Linked DNA regions of Tribolium castaneum. The protein of the gene in region 1 purifies or fractionates together with the protein of each later gene. This does not show direct contact. Links are inferred from orthologs where the notes say so. Each region holds a gene or a part of one and is shown on either strand. Other genes may lie near its edges. The genes, in order: Ufd4, alphaCOP, glu and SMC2.

Region 1 (6,632 bases):
TGCCCTCCGTGTGAGTTAGCAACGCAGTTGTTTCATTAAATTTCCTGTAAAACCGAGAAATTTCAAAATTAGTTCAAAATTTGCATTTTCCGAGTGTTTTAGGCCCATTATTGATATAAATACGCAGTTTTTGTAAAATTTTAGAACCGAAAAATCAATGAACGCAATTATTCACCAAAAATTTCGTAAAAAATTACTCATTACCCAAGAAATCGCTGAGTTGGTTTGAAAATAATGTACTTAAAAATACGCTTTCAGGGCTAAAAACTTTCACGACGGTTTGAAAAATTACAAAAGTAGATCATTCGGACGTTATGTTGATACTTCTGGACAAGACAGAGTCCAAAATTGAACACAACACAATTTCAACACAATTGGTGCTCAAATCGTAGTTGTCATCGGTAGGGTAAACCGATTTCAGGTTTTCTACAGCGAATTTATGAACAATAAATTATCTAAAATCAACTAATTTCAACAAAACTGTATTTGAATTGTCGTTTCAGATTTTTTGGACAGAAAGTTTTGTGAATGAATCGTCTGAATCAAGTGCTAAACTTGATGCTTAAATCTTCGTTCCCGGCACCTGAGTAGAGTGATGGCAGGTTTTCTACAGCGAGTTTTGCCATTTCTGAGAAAAGAATCATCTAAAATCAACCAATTTTTACAATCCAAGCAAAATCATCCAAAACCGCGATTATTTTCCAAAATTACAATAAAAATAATTCAAAAAATCACCGAATTTCAGTTAGTTTTGTTTTTCCAATCATGCAAATTTTCAGTCAACGAATCGATCACTTATAATACCAGAATTGTCTTTTTCAATCGCTTAAACACGCAGATAGAATAAAAACTTCGATTTAATAACACCGGAATGAAAAATCAGTAAACTAGGTCAACTATTTAGCACGTTCTCGAGCCAAAAATCAAAATAAATTGTGCAAAATTAAAATATTCTTATTATTGTGTCGTGTATTTATTAAAAATAAAGTTTAGTGTTTTTGGCCACTCGTCTTTACCTCGACTCCTCCCGATTCTATAGCTTCGATGAGTGCATCTGTGTCTTTCGACCGAATACAATCGATAAGTTGTCGGTGTGATTTTTCAGCTGCCGGATCCATTCGTCTCATCCTTGGCAAGAGTTGTCCTGAGGTGGTAGCACCACCTGATTTGCCTAAAGCTCGACGGCCTTCAAACAATAAAACTAGAAGTAAATCGACGAGTCGCATCGAATCCAAAGCGCAACGTTCGTCGCCTTTAAGTGATTTTTCTATAGCATCGGGTAATTCCGAACGTAACAAATCCTGAAATTTAAAACATCAATCAAGCAAATCACGTCACTGTAGTAACAAGATTACGTGTGTTATCGCAGGTGATCCTCTACACAAGGTGGACAATAAACTGATGATTGTTGATACTGAAGCTGCTGTTGCTTTAGCGTCTGGTACGGCGGCAGTAGCGTTCGTTGTTGATGATGCTTTACCCGACGTATTCTGCGTACCGGTCGCCACTGAAGGACCCGCAGCGTTCGACAATCGACTCAAAAGCTCATTTACTAAACCGTGTTGGGCCAAAGGTGCAGGATCAACACCTCTCCGTGTAAACCTATCAGCCACCGAAGCGAAACACCGCAACGCTCCATCGGCCACGTGCGAATCCTCGTGCCTCAGAAGCGTGCTCAAGGCTTGCACACATGTGGGTAATTGCACGTCGGCTGGTTCCATTTTCGTGCACAATCTGGAGACTACGGCCATGGCCGAATGGAGCGTATCCTTATGTACTCGATTTCCATTGTCTCTGATGAAGGGAAGTATAGCGCTGAGACCGCCCGCGTCAAACACGGCACCGGCCTCACGCGTGCAGATGAGCTCGAGTACTTTGACGCATTGTTCGGCTAGATCTTTGCTCGTTCGAGATGAGAGTTCGGCGACAACGAGACGATTGCATATGGCACGGACGGCACCCTCGATGGCGACGATACGACGTGTGCATTCCGCCGAGACGTCCAGGTAGTAAGTGATGGCGCGTGCCGTTACTTCGAGGACGTTTTCGGGGGCCTGCTCGTCGAGGAAAATGCGACAGAGGGCTGGGAGAAACGTCCGAGGAGGGCAACTATAATCATTTAATTATCAACAAAACCTACAATTTTTTTTATTGAAATACCTTTCAAAACAGCGGTCTACATTGTCGGACATGAGAAGTAACATGCATAGTTGTTCGAGGGCGATGAGCTGCATGTCTCGCTCGTCGCCCAGACCGCTGTTTAGCCATTCCAGCAACGTCTCAGGATCAGGATCTGCCATCTGAAATCGGAGATAACGTTTTATTGTAGGTGATTTAGAACAGGTAAGACTGACGTTAAAAATTCAAACGGTCGTTCTACTTAGGGAGTCTATGGCACGTTTGAGATGCTACAGGTAGCAAATGAGCAATTCAACTAGAAATAAATAGAGATTGCTTCTTAAACAAAGGGGGCAACAACTTGTTACGGATTGTCTCCACTATGGTATTAATAGATGGTTTAATATTTAATTGCCTTAGTTTTGAATTAACTTAGCAAAAGTACAATACAAGTATTGCACCATTACTACACCTTCTGTTTACACAAAATACAAAAAGAAAAATTCTAGCCAACCTGAGACAAGATACGTATACCGTATTTCCGGAAGCTTACACAAAAATATAGTTATTTTTCTGCTAACAAGCAGAAAGAATATAATAAATCCGCATTATCCGCCTTCAAGATTACTTTTCATAAAAATGCGCCAAGTCTTAATATCATATTGTTTTAAAAATTAATGTGTGAAGATTATGACAGAAAAGAGCTAATGCCACCTTTCTATTATACCGTCCCAATTATGCAATATTTTTATAGCTTATTATAATTTGCAGATTTTTCCATTGCTTACGCGCGATTTTAACAAATTATACGATTTAAAACACTTTTATTTTCATAAATAATTTGCTAAAATGTAGGTAGTACATTTGAAACCTTATTCTGTACAGCAAAATTTTCAAGGAAATGCACTTTAAAGTCATCTTTCAAATAAAGATTTCTTTGTCGAGACAAAACAATTCTCAACTGCACCTTTGTGTACCTGAGAAATCATAAAGGATGCGTTAACTAACGACACATAGTTATGGACATTTTCATATTTCTAGATGTTTCTAGCTGTTTCAATAAAAACATAATATTTACGATTCGCATGATAAGATAAACTCATTCCGCAATGAATATGTTCCAGAAGTTGTATGTAAATAGAATTGTCATTTCCTTTGAAAGTGTTTCCAATTGTGCAATTAAATATGGAAAATATTTCTACGTTTCCTCATTAATAAGCACGGTATTCCATCCAATATTTATTCAAAACTGTTAATTTCTTACATACATCTAAAAATTGCTTCGTCTTTGATGCTCGCCTTCTCAAAATAAATCATCACAAAAAATCATCAATGTTTACAAGATTGAAGTTAAAAGATTATGCAAGAAAGTTATTTATTACCACCTACGCAATGTGGCAATTTCCTTTGATATAAAGACTTCGGTACAAAAACATGACTCTCAGCGCAAGTTTTTTACACACCAACAATGGATACATGAGAATTAATGTCAAAATTAAAAAAATATTTACCTACCTGATACATCTTTTCTTAATAGATAAATAAACCGGGGTTTAATCGTCCAATTAAGAAAATATTGACGCATCTTTAGGAAATGGTGCAATGTTTAGGAAACATTTTAACAAAAATTTAACATTCCGACTTTCACGACTCCATCGACCCAAATTACGACAAAAAATCTCTTCAAACGACAAAATCACTGATGCATCGTCTTCCGACGATGGCCAATCATCACGAAAAAGTCCCGTTACGTAACTGTAGATCCGCGTTTTAAGTCGTCAAATCGCATTTTTGAAAACGACGAGATCAACACCCGACACCAAAACAAAGAATAGCAACCTTCAAAAATTCTGTTTGTTTACAAATCAACCCACTATACATGTGTCATAAAATTTACACGCAAACATGTGCGAATTTACATAGAATCGAAAATAGTCGCGCGATTTTTCATGAGTCACTGCGCAATTTTCTATGTGATGGTGGTAATTTGGTGGGATTCTTGGCTCTGGAATCGGTTATTTATAAATAAAACTTTCATTTGGCTCATTTGTTTCGTACCGGGACCGGAGAGAAACTAGCCGACGAATGAACATCCCCTTATTAAATTTTTAATCATCGTTATATTCACTTAATTAGAAATTAATTCCTTGAAGCGAATTCGACGCGTGCTACGCCAATAAAAATAACTTTCACGACGACGTCGCGGCATTTGCTGTTAATTTCTTTTCGTCTCTTCGACTTTCACTGGAAAATTGCGCTTTGAACGCTCTAACGGTTACATAAACATGATTCTTGGGATAAATTCTGCTATCTATAAAATCGTTTTGTTTGAGATACTCAAATTGTTATGCAATGTTTGGATTGTTCTTCAAACAAACCCATTTTTGTGTTTATTTATAAATAAAGCCTTCAATTTTTATCAGCTTAATCGCCATGGTAATCGATATAGTTGCTAGAGCGAAAAGTCGCATTATTGATTGCTTTCATATCATTTTATTTATTTTATTCAAAGGGTGGGACAAGGTGAGGGATGCAAACAACGCCTTCAATACAATCACTGGCGCGGATTTAATATGAATGAAACAAACAGCAATTTTACAATCCCGAGATGCGAATACTATTCAATTATTCATACAATAATCCATGTACTCTTATCGAAACGAAAGCACAAACAGATTGAATGGTAATTTAAATGAAAATAGGTGATTTAGGAGGTTTAACCGGCATTGGTCCGGTTAATTTTAACGAGGTGGAATAATACCAATTTCAGGTTAAGTTGTTTAAAATTTAATTTAAACTGGCGGATGTAATACAGACGAACTAACATTTAATTAAGATAAAAAGCAATTCTCCCAACTAATTTACAAAATATTCAATCCACCTCGACAGAAATAACTTTATCACTAATTTAGAAGAAAATTTATTTGCTTTCACTTACTTAAATATTTTCTCTTGTTATAACATAGAAAGCTATGTTTAGATGAGTAAACAGTTTTAATCAGCTAATTTAGAACAAAAGAAAAATAGTACCGGATATTTAAAAAATATTCTAGGCCGGTTGGCAGTAACAATTAACCGTAAACCTATATATTTTTTCTATCGAAAAGAGTTAACAAGTTGATCGACGATGTATTATAATAAAATCCCCCTTTCTTTACAAATCGATATTTAGTGCTGCAATAAACTCCACTATGTTTAACCTTGTTGGAGACTTATTTTACATAGGTTTTGGTTTATTGTTCGACCCATTTTATTTTGCTGTTGAAACTGTTACATTTTATACAAAATGTTGAAACAGAGATATTGAAAACAGTTGTTGAAAGCAAAAACATTTGTGCAATTTCATGTAACGTTTCAATTTCTTCAAAACATTAGAATTATTTAGCACAAAGTAAAATTGTCTTTTCCACTTGTACATATTTACGCAAACAGTGGCGCACTTTAGATATAACTGACGTTCCTGCATGTTATTGAAACAGCTGAATTTCTAAAATTAGCAATTACCAAAAAAAAAAAATCCACAAACAGTATGTAAAGTTCGTTCGCATTAGATACTCTCTAAGTAATAAATAAATAAATGAAATAAAACACATGCTTGTTTTTATCAACCGTTGACAAACATTTCAGTGAAAAATTATCTTAACAATAACCACCTGACATGTCAGAATAAAATGGACCATTTAGAGACAAACATGATTAAATATGAGTCACTTTCATTACTGTTATACATTTACTAACAAATAAATTCAAGCCACATCAAATTTTTTCAATTACGCTTTTATTTATTCAGTTTGTGCTTAACCTAACGATGAAAATTAAAATTAAAAATTAACATTTTGGCAAAATCCGGACACATACCTAATCTGTTTAATTTAAAAAATAAACCAATATAAACCAAGGCCAGGTATTTCAACCTGAAAAAAAAGCTGAATTTATAGAATGAACCTTCAGTATTCTATGTTTTGTGTGCCAAATAAAGACTTGTTCTTGAACAGGAATTGCGACTACACTTTCGCAAAAAAAACAATCATTATCATCATATTATTATAATATGCAAAATCGTTTTCCGAGTAGATGAATCCACCATAGTTGCTTGATAATGATTAATGATACCTACTTTTCATAAAGAAAAACGTTCCTAACTATAGTTTACCATGCAAGACAAAGTATACACTAAACACATATGTAATAAATAATAAAGTTGTGGTAAACCGCTTTAATAAGCCATGAAATTAGCAACCAACCATATTACTTGTTCGCACGAAAACTAAATAAATTATCTTGGAAAAATATTAAGCCAAAGTTATTAAATACTGGTCACAAATTACACTGTAACAAAAAGTGAAAATTTTAAAATGTTAGTGTTTATTAAAAATATACGTCTTTCTGAATACATTTTTGGTCGCAATTCATTTCTAATATCAGCCTACGCTAAAAAATTGGAATTGACAATTTACAATTAAGCCTAATTTAATCTTTTATTGTTACGTTATTAATGAAAAAAAAAAACAAAT
Region 2 (6,402 bases), on another chromosome or scaffold:
GGTTTCCAATGAAGAAACAACTACTCAAGTGTAAATCAACTGGAATTTAGTGATGAATTTGTTAAATAAAAATAGAATGAATGTTTTATATTGTTTGGATAATTGTAAACAAAATGTTAATGACAACCAAAGTTCCCTCGTACATTAAGAAATCGTATTTATAGTCATTAACCATAATCAAATCACCATGTGACTTAAGAGTTCCTTACAAGTTAACAAAATTCATCTCACCTCAAAATTACACGGAAGATTGAGATTTTTATTATAAATTTATTAACAGCCGATCATCTTCACCAACGCAATAAATTTACAAAATTAAATGTATGGTTTAGTGCATTATTTGTTTAACCTGGTCAAGAAAATTAAAATAAAGTTTTTCTAATCTTTATTTAATCCTGTCTAAACCCATTCACCTTTAATACGTTAATCAATAATGATTTAATGAGTAACAAACTAATTGTTATTCGTCCACCTAACAAAATAGCTTGTTTTAAGATTATTGTTCATTTTTAACTTTGTTCAATTTATATAGAATTTATAAAATCAACAGCAATTTCGTCTGTAACAAATTACGTTAAAATATTTGTAAGACAAATGATAGCTAAATTAATAAATATTATATCAAAGAAATTCGACAAAATTCATTGCCAGCTCATTTATAAAACAATAAATATTTTTTCGTTAATTTAAATTAAATGATTAATTGTTGGAGTTTTAGACACATCAAATTTTCTTTCAGATAATTGTTCAGCATATAAATGCGCAACTTTGCCCTAATTTAACCGACCACGTAGGTCTTATAATAACTGAGATCCCCATGGTGGAGCTCAAAAAACCAACACCCCCTATACATATTATTCAATATATCTTGTATGAGAATTCGTTTTCGAGTGTCATTAGTCATTACTCATTACTCATTAGCCCTGTCATCCTAACATTAATTGTGTGGGAGTAAAGAATGATACTAAGAAAATTTTTTTTTAATTATTTTTTAGAAAAAAGATCTTATTTAAAAGATGCTCTAAAAAGTAAAAAATTATGTTTTTCTCCCAGAGGAGAATATTTTTGCTTACAAGTTAGGATTCTAAAATTTATAAAAGCTTCGGGAACAGTGCTGAATTCAAGAAACTAATTCTGTAATGCCTTATTGTTATGACTTGTGACTATGACTTATAATTTATGATATGACCGTTCCCAGAGTTTTTATAAATTTTAGAATACCAACTTGTAACCAGAAGTATTCTTCTCTAATAGAAAAATATTATTTTTTACTTTTCAGTGCATCTTTTAAATTGAATTTTTTATCAAAAACAAATTTGAAATTTTTTAAATTTTATTTTTGCTAACTAAAACTAAAGTTTCACTTATTGTAAACGTCTTTTTCTATTAAATTTAATTTTACTGCATTATTATTGTAACACCATTATTTAGCTGACTTGTGCAAACTTGTTTGGCGGTATGTGATAGAAAAGAGCAGTTAGCATTTTACAATTTACAGCACATTCTTACCTCTGTTCTGTGTATATCGTTCAAGATAAATGAATTTAAAAAAAAAATGCGACATTTGTTTCTACCTGAACGTGATGAAAATGATTACGTATTAATGCTATTAATATTTTTCTATAAGTGAGTGAACAGTGCGCCTTTTTACACACATATGGAGACGTCCCAATGATCATCATACTGTGTATAGGTTGGTATAAGTCACGGTATAAATGTCGTAGGCTAATAGTAAAATCAGGCGTATTATAAAAAGTCTAATCATATTGTAAACGACTGGGCAAATTGAATGAATGAATAAATGAATAAATATAGGATTTTTACAATGCTATTGGAAATTTTAGGTGTATTATAAAATTTATAAAACACCTAACAAGTTTTCGTCTTAATGTAAAATGGTCTTTAATATCGTCCAATTAGACTGGGTTACATTTAGTCGTTTTGTAAAAGAACCAAAAATGCCATCAAACATTTTATAAAATTCCACTTTCTAATGTAGTTAGGTAGTTTAAAAAATTTAAAAAAATTGCACTCTAAATTTAAATTTACTCGTCGACAAAAACTCTCTTATATCTCAATAACTGTAAACATTCTGATAAGAGAAGTTGTTATTTTCGCTTATTTTGAATTCTACTATTACTACTATAACCCTCTGAAATACTTATTTATTATTATCACTAATTCACCCTGTAGTATTTTGAATTTGAGGTTATTTTTTCTTTTTATACTTATCAATTATCGTTATCACTGTAAATTTTTGGGACGAGTCGAATTGGTTCCCGGGGATGGTCGAATTGGTTCCCATCGGTCAGGTAGGTCAGGTAAACAGATTAAAGTATTATAACAGAAATGGCGTTTGTAAGTGTATGAACAAATTTACAAGTTCCAAAACGTTAAAAAACAAATCGTATTTTAACAATTTAAAGGCTGCGGATAAATATTTCTTCGAGTATTCAAGTACTTCCAAAACGATGAAGAAGGCGCATAGAACTTAATGGGTACTATGTCGAAAAATGTTAAAATTATTTTTGTAATTTGTCTCTATTTTGATGCTTTAATAGTATTAATAGACATATTAACGAACGCAACGTCATCATGTGAGATGTCTTAATAGTCATTGCTTGACGAAACATTTTACGAAATTTACAGGAGAGCATTGGGCTTAAAAAATTACTAAATTCTCCTTTTTTTAAATAACCAGTTAGCCATGAATAAATGAAATTTGTTGTTGGATTTTGTGCCAAGAAAATAATTATTTGAAAATTTCTACAAGCTTTAAATCTAAAATATTAACATATATTTGGCTTAATCCTTTTTACCTACCTGCTCATGCGGGAGCCAATTCGACCATCACCCGGGAACCAATTCGACCATTACCTTTTACAGAATTATACTTATAGAGATTACTGGGAACCAATTCGACCACGACCGGTCAGCGATGTAAAGAAACTAAACTATAACAAATCTTGTTAAGTTTATATAGACTTGGTAAATTTGTTTAATGTTTTGATGTTCCTTTATGCAAAGTTGGCGCTTTGACCGGCTCTGATAAATTAGATAGTGGTAGCTTTGTTGTGCTACAATAGAGCTCGAAATGTGTCCAGTGAAAAAATGCTGGAAAAAAGTTCGCGCATTCATAAATCTCAATGTTGAACAAGATATATGTAAACATAATTAGGCTAATTTTTTGTAGTTCTTGATATTACAAACCTATATTAATAAATATATTGCTATAAAGACATTGCTTTTCGTGTCTTCCAGCATTTTAAGACGATAATTTATAATATAAAGTTAAATTTCAGTAGTACTGACTAGCGCATTATAATACTCCAAAATAATGCAGGTTTGTTTCAGTCGTATTGCAAATGAACCATAGGTATTTTACAATAAGACGAAAACTGGTTAGGCGTTTTATAATACGCCTAAAATTTTTTCAGTTGCATTTTAAAAACCCTACATTTATTTATTCATTTACAATTTGCCCAGTCGTTTACAATATGACTAGGCTTTCATAATACGCCTAATTTCACTATAAGACTACGACATATACAAATTGAAAACCCCTTTGTGAACATAACCTGAAACTTTAAAACCCTATTTAGCCCCTTGTTCCGTAAACCGGCCATGTGTTATTCAAGTAGTTGGCTGCTAACAGATAAGAATAAAACAAACCCAGATAATTAATTGCCAACATTGATATCAAATTTGAGTAGTGAAGATTTAAAAAATGTACGACAAATATTTTAATGTTTCAATACAAAAGATAGGTATGTGCTTTGAGCCAGAAATACCGCTGTGCCATGATCTGTATGATCGCAAAAAATGATTAGATTTATTAAACTACAAACTTACCTTGCCAATATCCAAGGACGTTTCGAATGAAATGATAGGCCCTTTACACGGGCTGATTTTGTTTCAAATTTGGTCAACATTTTGAAAACTGGTTAAAATCCCCAGCTAGCTGACGTGTCTTTTGAGGTTATGTTTCTCTTTGGAAATTTATAAGTTAGGTCATACAGTAATCTATAAAATCACTGAAAGAAACAATACATGTAGTAAATAACAACACACCAAAAGTAGTATTTGTGCCAATAGACAAGTACCTTAAGTAATTTTTTTGGATTAAAAAACACATTCCACAAAACCAATATTGACATTTATCGAACATAAAAAAACACGACACGAAACACGTAGCAATTTAGGGATTTTTGGTTTTCAGCAGGTTTGCAAACAAGGTTAAACTTGAACAAGAATCAGGTTTTCTTTTAAATTAAAAAACTAGATATTTCCCCGCATCATTTTACAAAAACTAGGATCAATATAGTTCCACTTTTTCGGATAATTTTGCTGTAATTGAGAAAATGAAAAAATTAAAAAATATATTAACCCCCCCACCTTTAAAAATGGCCAAGTGTCTCAAAATCAATTATTAAAATCCATCTTATCTGATAGATTTTGATGTACTCTTTACGATGGAAAAAAGCGTTTCCTCCTACTTAGCTCTTTTATTTTGGCCGTAATCGACGATTAAAAATAGAAAACTTTTTTTCGAAATATTGCCTTGAAACCTATGCCATTTTGTAAAGCTTTTCACTTCGGTTCTCTTCAATTTTTCCGATTTTCGATAACTCTCATTGGGTGGTAATAATAAAAATGAAGTAGATGCTAATACTACAGTACAGTGGTACAGTGGAGTAAATAATAAGCGTTCATTTAAAAAAAACTTTAGAGTGCTTTGAAATTAAAAAATAATTCATGTGAACGAGTTTGCTTAAGACTCCTCGAGACCCGCAATTTCGTGAATTTCTTTCAAAAATACTCAAAAAATTGGCTCTAAGGTCTCAATACTACTGTTACTCGCTAAATTATAAGTGATTACCTGTGTCGTTGCATCTGGTGGAACATTTATTTTTCAAATGTTGAATCTGTCCACACGTTGAGCAAAAGGTTGAAAAGCCAGTTCTCTTAGCAAAATTAATCACCCATTTTGCAACAAATTGCTGCTGTTGTCCTCCGGCACCTTGGATAGCCAACTGTCATTGAAACAGTGAGCGACTCTCTGCTTGCAGGTCACACTTACTTGTATCAGTAGGTTGAAATAGGTGTACATAAAAACATGTAGCTTTTTTACAACTTTTATTTTTTTTATACAATAATATAATATTTACATTTTACTACGACTACTACTACTTAGCTAAACTTATTCTACACTATTTTCTACTAAAGAACCCCGGCCCTAAAAAATTCACAATAAATTACTGCTGAAAAAGATTCAATAAAACTTACTTCTTTAATTTAAGGCATTATGATTCTTTTTAGTTTTTAGGAAGTCGAGGTAGCTGGGCTCATTGAAATGATCCCAGTTCTCCTCTTCTTCTTTCAACATCACTTCACATGAGGCCCTTTGTTTTTCTTTATCGGCCCGATGACACTTCCAAATGTGCCTTTCAAGCCGAAACCAGAGCAGTACGTGGTTTTTGTCGTATGGACAAACTATGACATCCTCTGAAAAAAAATTATTTCCAACTAAACTACTAAAAAAATATTAAACTTACCAGGAGTATTATAAATCGAACACTTCCTTGTAACTTCCATTTTTTAAAGAATTTCTTGTTATTGCAGATATACACAAGAACTGTGTTACACAACACAACACATTAACTTTTATACAGTTTGGGGTGGAAAATGAGTAAGGACAATTGCGCGATTCATCTTGAATGAGTGAGGAGTTGTTGGCCTTGGAAAAGTGGGGAGTAGCATGAATGACCTTGACCTTGAAAACACCAAGGTCCAATAATGCCTTGGCCTTGAAATGGTGGGGGGAAGTGGGAGGGGTTGGCCTTGAAAAAGTAAGAGAGAACGAGTGACCTTGAAAGAAAGAGAGGGAAAATGGGCGGGGTCAAACTCAAGGTCAAGGTTGTGTTGTGTTGTCCCCCCATTCGTTATCTACTACCAACTCTTAAACTGATCGTAGCATTGGCCGTGCTTTGCTGAGAATACCTGAGGCTGACTGAAGGCTCTGAACCATGTTGTTCTATAAAGCCGTCCCTTAAGTTACGCAACGTTGTTAGGTGACTGTACAGACTTGTAACGCATGCAGAAGTTTCACTTTGTCTTTCTTCAGCGTTGCTTGTGGACGCAGACGGCTCTTGGTCTTGCCTAAAACATGTTTTTTTACTACATACTAAGCCAGGGTCCATCATTTTTTTTTGTAAAATTTTTTTCGGCAACTAATGTTCAAAAAAAGTTGTATGAGGTATTTAAGAGTATTTGAAGACTATACCGGATTGTACGAAATTTATTTATTTATTTACAGAGACAAACAGCTCTATAATAAATAAAATAAAAAAGGCTTGGACTTTGAATAAAGTAGTTGACCGAGTTATAACAAAAAAAAATGGG
Region 3 (5,911 bases), on another chromosome or scaffold:
TTGTTTTGTGTTTTGTTTTTTGTAAATTTACATTTTGAATTTTGAGCTCTTCGTATAATGGCCGCTTCAATTTAGTAATTGATAATTATTAACCAATATCAAAAGTTAAGTAAACTACAAGCTGAGTCTGCATAAGTAGTCTTTGCTGTAACTATACTAATAAATACACAGAAGTCAACGTTTACTATTAAATACTATATGTTTTTCTCAATGCATGTAAATTTTTTCAGAATTTTTTCACAGTTCCTTTTAATAAATATTAATTAATAATATTAATAGTACATTCATATAACTAAAAATATAAAAATAAACGATGCTTAATTTTTTTTGTTTTATGCAAAAATTCGTAAAAAAAAATTGACCCTAGCTTCAAAATGACATCTGTTTGTATCTATTATTTTTATTTAGGTAATTCATTTTTTCTTGGGGCTACCGCTTATTTTGTATACGTTTTTTTTTGAGTCTCCTAAAAGTATACTCAAAAACTAATATTCAGTTAATCATACAAACTTCAGCGTTTGATGTCAAATACTTTATATTTTTCTCCTCAGGTATTTTTTTAGAATTCTCCTTAAAATTAAAATAAATTACTTAATGTAATTACTATTAAGTCGCTGCCAAAAAACTACTATTTCTAATGTCGTTTTAGAACAAGCGATATTTAATTGTTTTGTGCAAATAATCTATAAAAAATTTCACTAGCCGCAAAGTTAAAAATTAAATCAAATAAACCTAATTTTGGAGCCAACAACAATTTTATTGGTTTAAGAATGCTCAAAATAATCTTCGTTGTTTTCGAATAACACTAGAAATAATAAAATTTCGATTAATCAATGTTTTATACTTTTTATTGATACTGATATTCTTCGGTAATTAATTTTAAGTATTTTAAGTATGACTACACAAATTCTGGAAAAATTTACAGGTCTAGAGAAAAACATAAAACATTTAATTTGAAATTTAATGATTTCAGTGCGACTATTAGTTTTTGAAATATTGTAAAAAATACTTATAGAAAACTCATCACTCTGTTAAACAAAAAAAAATAATAACAAAATGTTGTATTTATCAAAAACTAAAATTAAATTATGGACACAATGAATCTGTTTGACCCGAAATAAATAGCTTAAATACTGTCATTGAACAAATTATTATATTTAATGCAAATTGCGGGATAAAACCGATAGAGCCAAATGTGTGAAAAATACATTGCATTCAAATTTTCTTGGTAATAAATATTGTAAATTAAAAATATTATTCTGATGTCCACAATAAACAAAATGTTTTGAATTTAAGTTAATTAAATTTTATATTGATTATTAAATTTCAATAAAAAGGTCAAATGATCTAGTTCATTGCTAAGCAATTAATGCAAGAGAAAGCAATTAAAAAATTACCTTTGCTAAACCTGATTCCGAAAATAATTGAAAATTAGAAGAAAAGGAGAATTATTAGCAAATTTAGAGATAGTTAAATAAGAAGATATTGTCCTATTTGTTATATGAACACCAGTAGAAATTCTAAACAAAAAATAAAGTCAAATTTTGGAGAAAAAAAACATTTCCTAAACTTTTAGAATTTGTTTCCTAAATTGCTACATTAGTACATTCCAAAATGTGAAATATAAATATCGTTTTGTTTTGTGATAAACAGGTATTTATTTTTTAATTTAATACGAGGTGAAATTGATAGTTGTACAAATAATTTAATGTAGAAATGTGTATTGTTTTTAAATTCCTTACCCACGTTATCATCCTTGCCCTGTGTCAACTTCTCGGTAATATCTTCAATACATTTCAGTAACTGTTGTCCATCAGCTTCAATTTCATCCCTTTCTTGCTTCATGGTTCTTAACCTGTTTTCACAGTCGACAATATTTTGTTCCAATGTTGCAATTTTTTGCGTAGTCTTATCTAAATTTCTTTGAGACGTTGTTATTGCAACTTTAAGTCGAGTGATTTCCGTTTTACATTTCTCAATCATCTTCACAGCTTCGTCAATTTTTTTCTCAACACCCACCAGTTTTCCGCTTGTTTTTTCTTTAATGGCTTTGTTTAAGTTGTCAACTTCGTCTTGAATTTCTTTCATAATATTAAGAGCTTTCTCATATTCGGCTTTCTTTTCGTCAACAATCGCCGCCAACTTCTTGATTTCTTTAGGGTCAGATTTGGTCGATTTTGCGACAGTTTCTTGTTGACGCAACTTTTCATAGAGTAACGGTTGTTCCTCATTCAACGACTACAACAAACAAACAAATAAAACAAAATAAAATATCGAAATATTGTTCAAAAACCTGGAGATCTTTGCTGAATTTCTCGTAATTGATTCTCATTTGATCAAATTCGGGTTTTAATGTCCTGATTTGGCTTTCCAAACTATTCATTTTCTGAGTCAGTTGTCGCAGACGTTCTTCTTTTTTCTCGATATTTACTTGCATTTTTTCCAACTCTTTGGGATCTATAGTGGATGTGAGGACGGTTCGACCCATTCGACCCCTGCTTACTGTCTTTCCACCACCACTCATGGTACCGGAAGGTTCCATGATTTCCCCTTTCAGTGTTACCACCCTGAAGCGTTGGGCACCGAATGCAATTCTGGTGCCTTGATCTAAATCGTCCGCAACTAAAGTGTCTCTCAGCGCGTAGTAAAAGGCAGTTTTGACTGTGTCGTCTTGCACTTGAATGAGGTCATACAAGCGATGCACATTTTCAGGTCTGAAATTTTAACATTTGCTTTCGTTTTGAAATTCAAATTACATTAAATTTAACTAGTGCACTAATTAGAGAAAAATGCATAATTGTTGTGCTTTACTTTCTTAATAGGGTGAAAAAACCTTACGTATACAAATTCAACATGAAAAACACGACAAAATTATTACAAAATTTTAAATTTGGGCTCTGGCACGTATTTTTCAAAACGCTGCGAATACTGATGAAGATAGAAAAAAAATGAAAAATGTAAGAAAAAAGTTGCAGACAATCAAATTTCCTTTAAAAAATTCTCCAAGATCAAATATATATCTTCAAAGGTTTAGGCCACAAATACGTTCAAAGACAAATACGTTTCAAAATTTATTTTCTATATTTTTTCCCACACTTTTTTCTTTCATCAACCGTAGCCTTTTGAAAAATATGGAACACACACAAATTTGTCATTATTGCTTATAATTTATAAATAGTATACTGATTTTGATAAAGTGTTTACGTTAACTTTATTTCTTATGATTTGTTTAAACTTCTGCAGAAAAACCGAAAGTTATTAAGTTTTTTCGAATCTTTTGTTTAATACTAACAAATTAAATCTCTTAAAAGTGTATTTTTTCTGAATCTCAAAAACTAATAATCACACTGAAATCAGCGTTTGCAATTTAATACTTTGCATTTCAGTTCTGTGTGTGTTTTTTCTGAATTTGTCTAAAATTCCCTATAATTAAAATGAACCAATTAATATTAAGTCGCTGCACAAAAAGTACCATTGTTTTAAGCAATTCGTGTTTTATAAACTGTCCCCTAAATTACTGCAGTTAAATTTTATAAATTCCAATAAGCAGACAAGAAAATTTAATGTAATTGTTATTTATTTTGTTAAGGTTTTTAAAAAACAGTTTTGAAAAATTCCTCTTACCCACAAGCAGGACAAACGCTTGTTTTAATTTACTTAACTTTGTAAAATAAAATAATAATATATCAAGTAAATAAACAACTTATTTTATAGTCAATTTTATGTCTGTTCGAAAGTGCAATTATGTAAGTTTCAAGTAAAAAGGTCCTTTTGTGTTTTTGAACTTGGCGTTATTTAACTACAATATTATGGCAACATTTTTTTATACAAAAATAAATAAATCTCAAAATGAACGATTGGATGGCCGAAACGCTATTCTGTAACTATTCTAAAAAGCTGTCAAAATTTAAAACACGTAAAAATTGAAAAACTAGCGATTTTTAGTTATTGTTCTAGCAGCAGCAACGAATGGTCTTTAAATTTTAATAGTTTTAAATTAAAAAATGTATGATTATTAAATTAACTGATATTACTTAAAACCTGTAACAAAACTAAATTTAATTGTTTAAATTTTTATTTGGAAGTGTATAGAAATATCAAGCGACCAAATAAATAAAAAAAAATATTTTGTATGTCAATATAAATTTAAATGAAAATTTTTAAGTAGTAAGAGATTTTTTCAAACATCCAAATAGCCTGTCACAGACAAAATTTTCCAGGGATCCTGAATCTGCAAGCGGATTTTATCTACTAATAGTATTTTCCGAAATATTTTGTAAAGTTTAAAAGTTGGAAATTTTCAAGCAAAATAAAATTGAGGTTGATAATTACTTGACACTTGATCAAACACCGAAACAGTTTTTGAAAAAAATATTAAATTTTTGGAAACGGCGAATCGGATTATGTCGCCTCCCGATATTTATTCTCCGTATTGCAAAATATTGGAAAGTAGTTTCAATTTTTTTTTACATGTTTCTCGTAAAAATTTTAGTCATGAGTTCTTCTCAGCCTATCAGGAATGTTACTAAAGCTCAACATTTCAGCTTTTTTCCAAGAAATTATTAGTAAACAGACTGCATTTAATCATTTTAAAACCGTTTAATCTGTATCTCATTTCAATCCTATTTTGAAATGACTCACGTTTGAATTCTGGTGTTGGCACGTTCCCTCAAATATTCCTGTTTATCAAGTGCGATAAAAGTAACTCTTCCAATCCCGTGAGTTTTTAAAAAATCAATACACCATGCAGCTGTATCTGCTGTATCAACCACAACATTGTCCAATGGTCCACACGCAGTTGAAATGGCCACGTCATATTTTTGGTCAATGCCCCCCAAATCACCCTAAGGAAATATCATTCACAGAAGTCCCACTTTTATTTTTTTTACTTACAAGACGTCCATAGAGCCCTGGACATTTCCCTTCACGCTTCTGTTGCATCAAAGCATCCAAAACTCTCCCACGTGACTTGGAACTGTTCATGGAAGCACGAGTCTCCTCCAAAGACATCCTTTGTCGTCTAATTTCATGTTCAATTTGATTTTGTTCGGATTTAACTGCGTCTAGTTCATGTTGCGCGTCATTGAGTGACTTTTCCGTAAGAGGAATTTTCTTTTTAAGTTGCGACACCTCTCCAGAACGTTCTTTAATACAAGCCTCTTTGTTTTTAATCGTTTCACGAAGTTGGTTAAGCTTTTCTTGTTCGGTTTCTTCACTGCTTCGGGCAAAATTTAATTGCGTGGAAGCCAAATCATACTAAAAAAAATGAGTAACAATAGTACGTATTAACAAGTACTCATTTAACTTTAGTAGATATTCGTGTTTTAATTAATATTAAATGCAAACTGCAAACACTATTTTTTCTATAACCGGATCATAATAAAAAAAATAATTTTTATCAATATATAATTTAACAAACCAATTAAAAGTATGGATTTAGAAAATAAATTACCTCATTTTTTGTTGTGTCAACTGTCTTTTTGAGTTTACCAAGTTTAGTTTCAAACTGTTCTTTCTTCACTTGTAGATCTTTCGTCTCATGACCGATATTTTCCATTAATTTTGCCTTCTCTGCTTGTAATTTTTCGTGCTGTGATGTTAAATCACGCTCTCGCTTCTCACACTCTCCAATGAGCTGCAGAAAAAAGTTAACAAAAATTAAATACAAGTAATTGTCATTACTTTTGCATTTTCTTCAGGCACTTTTTGTAACTTAATTAGTTTCTTTTTTTCATCTTCCAGCTGTTGCTTAAATTTTTTCCTGTTATTGTTAGTGTTTGTCATTTCGGCTTGTAGTTGGGCATCCTTTTTATCAGCCGCATTGAAAGCATCCTTGAGTTGATCCTTTTTCTGTTGCAACTTTTCATATTTTCTAGAAAAAAAATTGTTAAAACAAATCAATGTTTCAATA
Region 4 (5,514 bases), on another chromosome or scaffold:
AGGAAAACACGAATAACGAATGACTGTTTGGTTCACTTTCTTTATTGGAAAATTATTACAAAGACATTGAAAAGCCTACCTTTTGGCATAATTTACGTTTAAATGTATCAGCAGTTGTTAATCTTTATTGTAGTTTTGCAGATTTACCGCAGCATTTCATGATTTTTTCAGTGGAAAATTCTAACCTAAAATTCATAACACTTCACTAATTTATTGGTTTCTTGAGCCAAACTTTGTGTTCGCTGTGATCCATTACTTATAATCTTTAATTAGACAACTGTTTGATAACACTTTGTAATCAAAATTTAAATATTTTTCACTTTTTATCCACTTTCAAGTTCCAACAATAAACACTATACCACGAAAAACTACAGAACCAAAGTCAACGCTAGTATTTACCACCACGTACTTTTAAAGTAATTCTTTCTATTGTAAATAATTAACACTATACACGCAAAATTGTTGAACAATTCATTAAATGTCAGTTAAATGTGGCATTACGAAAATTTCTTTACTGTTTTCGACATAGTTCAAAAGTCATCACCAGAGGGCGTCTAGTTAATTTTATTTCCGAATAAAACAATAATATTTAATTATAGTTCATAATAACTTAGTGAATTATGTAAAGTAACTCAGTCAGTCTGACATCGAATTTTGAACTTCTTGAATGAAATTGATGATTAAATAGGACATTTCTTAATTAATAGCACAATTTTATCGTATTTTTCAGAAGTTTAATTGATTAAAAATGAAAATTACGAGCCAAAATTCAGTTTTTTGCGATTACTTCAAATAAATCATTCAAAAAATACTTAAATGTACGATGTTTTGTCCTTTTTCCCTTAATTTCAATTACCTCAACTCCCTGAAGGACCGTTTGTCCCGTGGGCGGCAACAGCTTGGCGGCGGCCCCTGGCAACAACGTGCTGAAAATCGAACCAAAATCTTTGGAAATTTGCGAATAAGCCTTGCACACAATATCTTCTCTCTTCCTGTCTAATTCTTTAATGGCATCGAGCAGCTTCTGTTTGTCTTGTTCAACAATTCGTAACTTTTTCTTCACTTCATTGTACTCTTTTTCCTGTTCTTCGAAATGGACTTGTGCTTGGCTGTTGACCGTGCGTCCAAGGTTTTTCCTCATTTCTTGTGCTTCTCGAATTTTTCTCTCCAACTTTAGGCCATCTTCATCTGACATCTTCTCGGCGTTTTTCAACTCGTTGCGATTGGCACGTTGCTCACAATCAGCTTGACGCGTCTTCAAATTCTTACACTCGTCTTGTAGTTTCTTCAACTTGTGAGTGGATTCTTTCATTTGGATCTCACACTGGGTGATTTTCGACTGCAGTTCTTCCTTTTCGTTGATCTTCTTTTGCACGTCTTTGTTCTTCTCGACGATTTCGGCTTTGCCTTTCTTGAGTTGGGCTTGCAATTCGGCGATGTTTTCCTAAAACACCGAGATTAAAGTAGAATTAACCAGTGATTAGAACAAGTATTTACATTCATTTCGGTTGATTGCGTCCCGATTTCTTCAAGTTGCTGTTTTAATTTTTCGATATTTGCTTCAGCTGCTTCAATCTGCTGCTTCGTATCCAACAAACTCTGTTTCAATTCTTCAATTTCTCCCTTAAACGTTGCATAATCCAACTCTTTTTGTTGCCACTCTTTTCGGCTTTTGTCCGCTTTTGCCTTCAATCTGGCCATTTCTGCTTCAGCCTCTTTTAATTTCTTCTCGGTTCCACCTTTCGAGCCTTCGACTTGTTTCTCCAAACTGGCCACTTTTTCGTTGAGTTTCTTCTCATTTTCTTCACACGAGGCAATTGTTTGCTTCAAATTTTCGATTTCTTTTTCCAAATTCGCTATTTCTTCCTTCTGTTGGTAATAAGTCGATTGTTGCAACCTTTGCGTAATTAAACTCAATTCGTGCTCTTTCAATTCCAACTGTCTTCGATACGTGGCGAATTGTTCTTCTTTGGGGCCCATTTCACGAATTTCGGACTCGATTTTTTCAAATTCTTCATCTTTGGCATTCAGTTGTTGCTAAATAAAAATTAACAAAAATTTTTATAATTGAATAACTAATTACCTCCACTTGTTTTATGGTTTCGAGTTGTTTCAAAACCGATTCGGTTTGTTCCCGGGAACCCCCAGTTAAGGTACCCGCCGGGTCGACAATGTCGCCATCTAGCGTCACACATTTGCGTCTAATCCTGTTATCAAAGGCGACTTGTTTTGCCACATCCATGTCCTTACAAATGAACACATTTCCGAAAATGTGTTCCATAACGACTTGCATTTTTTTGTCGTACTTCAAGTAGTCCAAGGCCAGTTTGATATTGTCTTTCCCGACCTACAACCGCCATGTTTTGCGACATTTTGAATATACACCAAGGTTTTTATTTTGTTGAACGTCACTTGCTGTTTCAAAAACTATAAAAAAATAGCAACAATCTACTTACATTTTTTTGGGGTCAAATGAGTTGTGTTAAATTAAATTCCAGTAAAAAAAATGTGCCAAGAAAACACCTTAATTAAAAAAAAAAACAATTGTGAAAAGTGACAGTTGTTTTTATAGTTCTGAAACAGGTATTACGTTATTTAGAGCGTTAATTACTAGTCTTTCATTTATATTATGCTAATAAAATATTATAAAGTAGGTTTAATTTTAGTTTAATATTGTTTAAATTATTTTTTTATTCAATAATTTTATAGAAAAATGCCAAATACAGTAAAAAAATTATATAAGAAAAAATATCCTGAAAGAAATATTCCAAACGCCCCTAAAGAAATACTTTAAAGATTAATTTATTACAAAAAGCTGCTGCTAGAAAATAATATTAAACTTATTATTGAAAAATAAGTATTATCCGTTCACGATTGTTTTAAATTCTCAGCAGGCGTAGATATATTTTTCTGAGGTTGGCTTCAGGTCCTGTCAGGTACTGTCTTTATGACGTTGTCTTGTCAAAAATTCGCTGTGTTGTCAGTTCTACTACTTATTAATTTAAAATGTCGAAAATAATTTCTGTTGATAAGAAAGTGTGCATCAAAAGATGCAAGAAAGACAGACCCGACTTTTTTAACTAATGATAATGAGTAGAATAACAATAAAAACGTATTTAATTAATTATTTAAAAAATGAAGCAAACTGACAACAGTCGTTGGTTGTCATCAATTATAACCCAAAATAAATTTCTTATGACAACTCACAGTACTGCCAAATAAAATGTCAGATTTTCATAGATAGTCCGAATTTAAGACAATTATGTGGTATGTTTCAAATCTTTAGCACCAATTGTCAATTTTCCTTGGCTCTAAATTTGTCGTAAGCTAGAATTGTTTTCTTATAAATAAACTCTCATTTTATGCTTTAGCTTTCTCAAAAAAAATGCAAATGCGATGTTGTAATTTTTTCTTAAAAACAGAAAGAAAAAAAAAGGAAAGAAAGTAAAAAAAAAGAAAGAAAGAAAGGAAAAAAGGAAAGAAAGAAACTAAAAGACTTCCATACGTGATAATTTTAGCACAATGGAAAAAAATCAGTGCGAAAAAAAATAAAAAAGATTCACCTAGAAATAGAAGAAGAAGAAAGGAAACGACTTAAAAGTGCAGACAAAATCTCAAAATAAAAACTCTAGAACAAAAAAAACTTAAAACAAATAGGGAAAAATCGAGTAACAACAATAGTAATAAACAAAATTTTGAAAACAGATAACCATTCTTAAGGTTAAATCTTAATCCTTTAACAAATGAACACCAAAAGCTAATTGTGTTATCAGTTTTATGACTGCGCTTGCCAGATATTACTGAAATAAGACTTTTATTAAAAAAAATTATAAAACAAAATGTATTAATTGTACTCAAAATATTTCAAGGTCTAATGCGGCTTTAACTGCCTACGCTGTAAAAAAAGTACTATGTATAAATGTATAAAATAAAGATGTTTAATTTACATAAATAAAACTCTGAATGTTTTGAATGCTTATCTTGTTTAAACAAAATTTTTTTGTTAACATATTGCTGTTTATAGAGAATTTGCGATTTATTTTGTATGTTTTTTTGTTTTATGTTACAAACAAAAACATATCTTACTGAAGACTTTTATTTAAAGTTGAGGTGCTAATGACTAAAACATAGAGTGCCAATAATAATTGCGCAAATGCCAATCACTAATTTTTTTTTGTTTTTTATTTTGGAATTATTTAAAAATTAGCTATAATTTTTTTTTCGGTTAATATATTTTGTTTATTTAGGTGCATTTAGGAATAATTTGGATTAAATTACCACATTAAAAAAAATCTTCACATAACGCTTTTGTTTAAACAAAGATATGGTTAACCCTTAAGGTGCCAATCGCTACACTACTTACCCCATTGTCTATATGGTAGAGTTTATTTCGCTGAGCATTACATAATTAATTGTACTATTATGCTATGTTCAGTTGCATTGTAAACAACAGTTATACAGACAGAAACGCCAATAAAATATAAAATAAAAAATTAAATAAAATCGTCATTGACTTACCAAAATCTCGGCTGTCTTAACAACACTGTTGCTCATCTTATTCACTTGAATTTTATTAAGCGGCATGAAGGTGCGCCTCTGCTGTAAATCCCCGTTTTTGAGTAGCTTCTTGCCGGTAATGTCGGTATCTATAACAACATTGTACAACCGACCACCGGCTGCCATTTCCAAAGCATACGCCGCCGCCTCGTCTTTCACTTCAAACAATCGGCAAACAACTCCAATAACACTGCTCCTTTTAAAATTGGGTTCGGGGTCTTTATACCTGAACTGGGTGTATGAATTCCGCATCTCAAAATGATCAACCCGTTGCTTCAAAACCCTCATTTCTTGCGCCAAGTGTCCTCTCCTATTCTTCAAATCGTTCATCCGGTCCTCCTTGAAATGCAATTTTTTCATACTGTTTTTCAATTGTTCAATTTCTTGAGTCATGGCCTTTTGGGCCTGTTGGTCTTTGAGGATTTCGTTTGCGTTGGAACTTTTCCGTTGTTTTTCTTTGAGGCGGTCTTCAAAATATTTGAGCTTGACGCGAGTGCAGTTTTTGTTGCTGGTCACTTCAGAGACTTCTTGACGTACGTTCATTAATTGGGCGAGAAGCGACTCGGCTTCGCCTTGGTCGTTGAGTTCCATTCCAGCGCTTAAAGCCACAACTCGTTTTTGGGACGTAAGGTAAGCTTCCTTGTCCTTTTCGTCCGCTTCTTTGAGTTTGAGGAAAGTCGATTCGACTTTCGCCAAGTTGGATTCTTTGAGTTTGAGGGTTTTTTCGTCGTCGGAAAAATTCTAAAAAATATTGACTAGTTGCTGGAGAAATTTAGTTGGGTGGGAGGGAAATACCTTTTCCAGTTGCTTTTTTCTCTTGGTTTCGTTGTCAATTTCGTCGTTGAGCGATTTTATGTTTGCGTTCACTTTGGCTTGGGATTTTTCAGCCGTTCGTAGTTCGTTTTCGAGTTTTTCCAAACCTTTATTACCATCCTAAATAATTATTTCTTAATTAAT

Evidence for each region.
Region 2: the proteins of Ufd4 (region 1) and alphaCOP purify together in Homo sapiens (affinity purification with mass spectrometry, with the first as the bait; 3 studies listed by BioGRID). This does not show direct contact. The link is inferred for Tribolium castaneum from reciprocal best matches to the Homo sapiens genes HECTD1 and COPA.
Region 3: the proteins of Ufd4 (region 1) and glu purify together in Homo sapiens (affinity purification with western blotting; 3 studies listed by BioGRID, with this or other methods). This does not show direct contact. The link is inferred for Tribolium castaneum from reciprocal best matches to the Homo sapiens genes HECTD1 and SMC4.
Region 4: the proteins of Ufd4 (region 1) and SMC2 purify together in Homo sapiens (affinity purification with mass spectrometry; 3 studies listed by BioGRID, with this or other methods). This does not show direct contact. The link is inferred for Tribolium castaneum from reciprocal best matches to the Homo sapiens genes HECTD1 and SMC2.

What each region holds. Positions count from the first base shown.
Region 1 is NC_087402.1:10,969,956-10,976,587, forward strand, and holds the start of Ufd4 (E3 ubiquitin-protein ligase Ufd4), read right to left. Parts: upstream 3,775-6,632; 5' UTR 3,643-3,774; coding exon 3,634-3,642; intron 2,301-3,633; coding exon 2,161-2,300; intron 2,110-2,160; coding exon 1,356-2,109; intron 1,302-1,355; coding exon 1,017-1,301; intron 1-1,016. UniProt on the Homo sapiens protein: E3 ubiquitin-protein ligase which accepts ubiquitin from an E2 ubiquitin-conjugating enzyme in the form of a thioester and then directly transfers the ubiquitin to targeted substrates.
Region 2 is NC_087403.1:717,253-723,654, forward strand, and holds the start of alphaCOP (coatomer subunit alpha), read right to left. Parts: upstream 4,235-6,402; 5' UTR 4,104-4,234; intron 4,035-4,103; 5' UTR 3,933-4,034; coding exon 3,853-3,932; intron 389-3,852; exon of another isoform or gene 35-388; coding exon of another isoform or gene 1-34. Other genes in the region: uncharacterized protein DDB_G0289357-like, read left to right, coding at 1-34. UniProt on the Homo sapiens protein: The coatomer is a cytosolic protein complex that binds to dilysine motifs and reversibly associates with Golgi non-clathrin-coated vesicles, which further mediate biosynthetic protein transport from the ER, via the Golgi up to the trans Golgi network.
Region 3 is NC_087394.1:25,210,408-25,216,318, forward strand, and holds part of glu (structural maintenance of chromosomes protein 4), read right to left. Parts: intron 5,873-5,911; coding exon 5,683-5,872; intron 5,636-5,682; coding exon 5,453-5,635; intron 5,257-5,452; coding exon 4,894-5,256; intron 4,845-4,893; coding exon 4,642-4,844; intron 2,715-4,641; coding exon 2,294-2,714; intron 2,239-2,293; coding exon 1,743-2,238; intron 1-1,742. UniProt on the Homo sapiens protein: Central component of the condensin complex, a complex required for conversion of interphase chromatin into mitotic-like condense chromosomes.
Region 4 is NC_087399.1:6,191,630-6,197,143, reverse strand, and holds part of SMC2 (structural maintenance of chromosomes protein 2), read right to left. Parts: intron 5,491-5,514; coding exon 5,353-5,490; intron 5,299-5,352; coding exon 4,519-5,298; intron 2,348-4,518; coding exon 2,084-2,347; intron 2,038-2,083; coding exon 1,498-2,037; intron 1,445-1,497; coding exon 857-1,444; intron 1-856. UniProt on the Homo sapiens protein: Central component of the condensin complex, a complex required for conversion of interphase chromatin into mitotic-like condense chromosomes.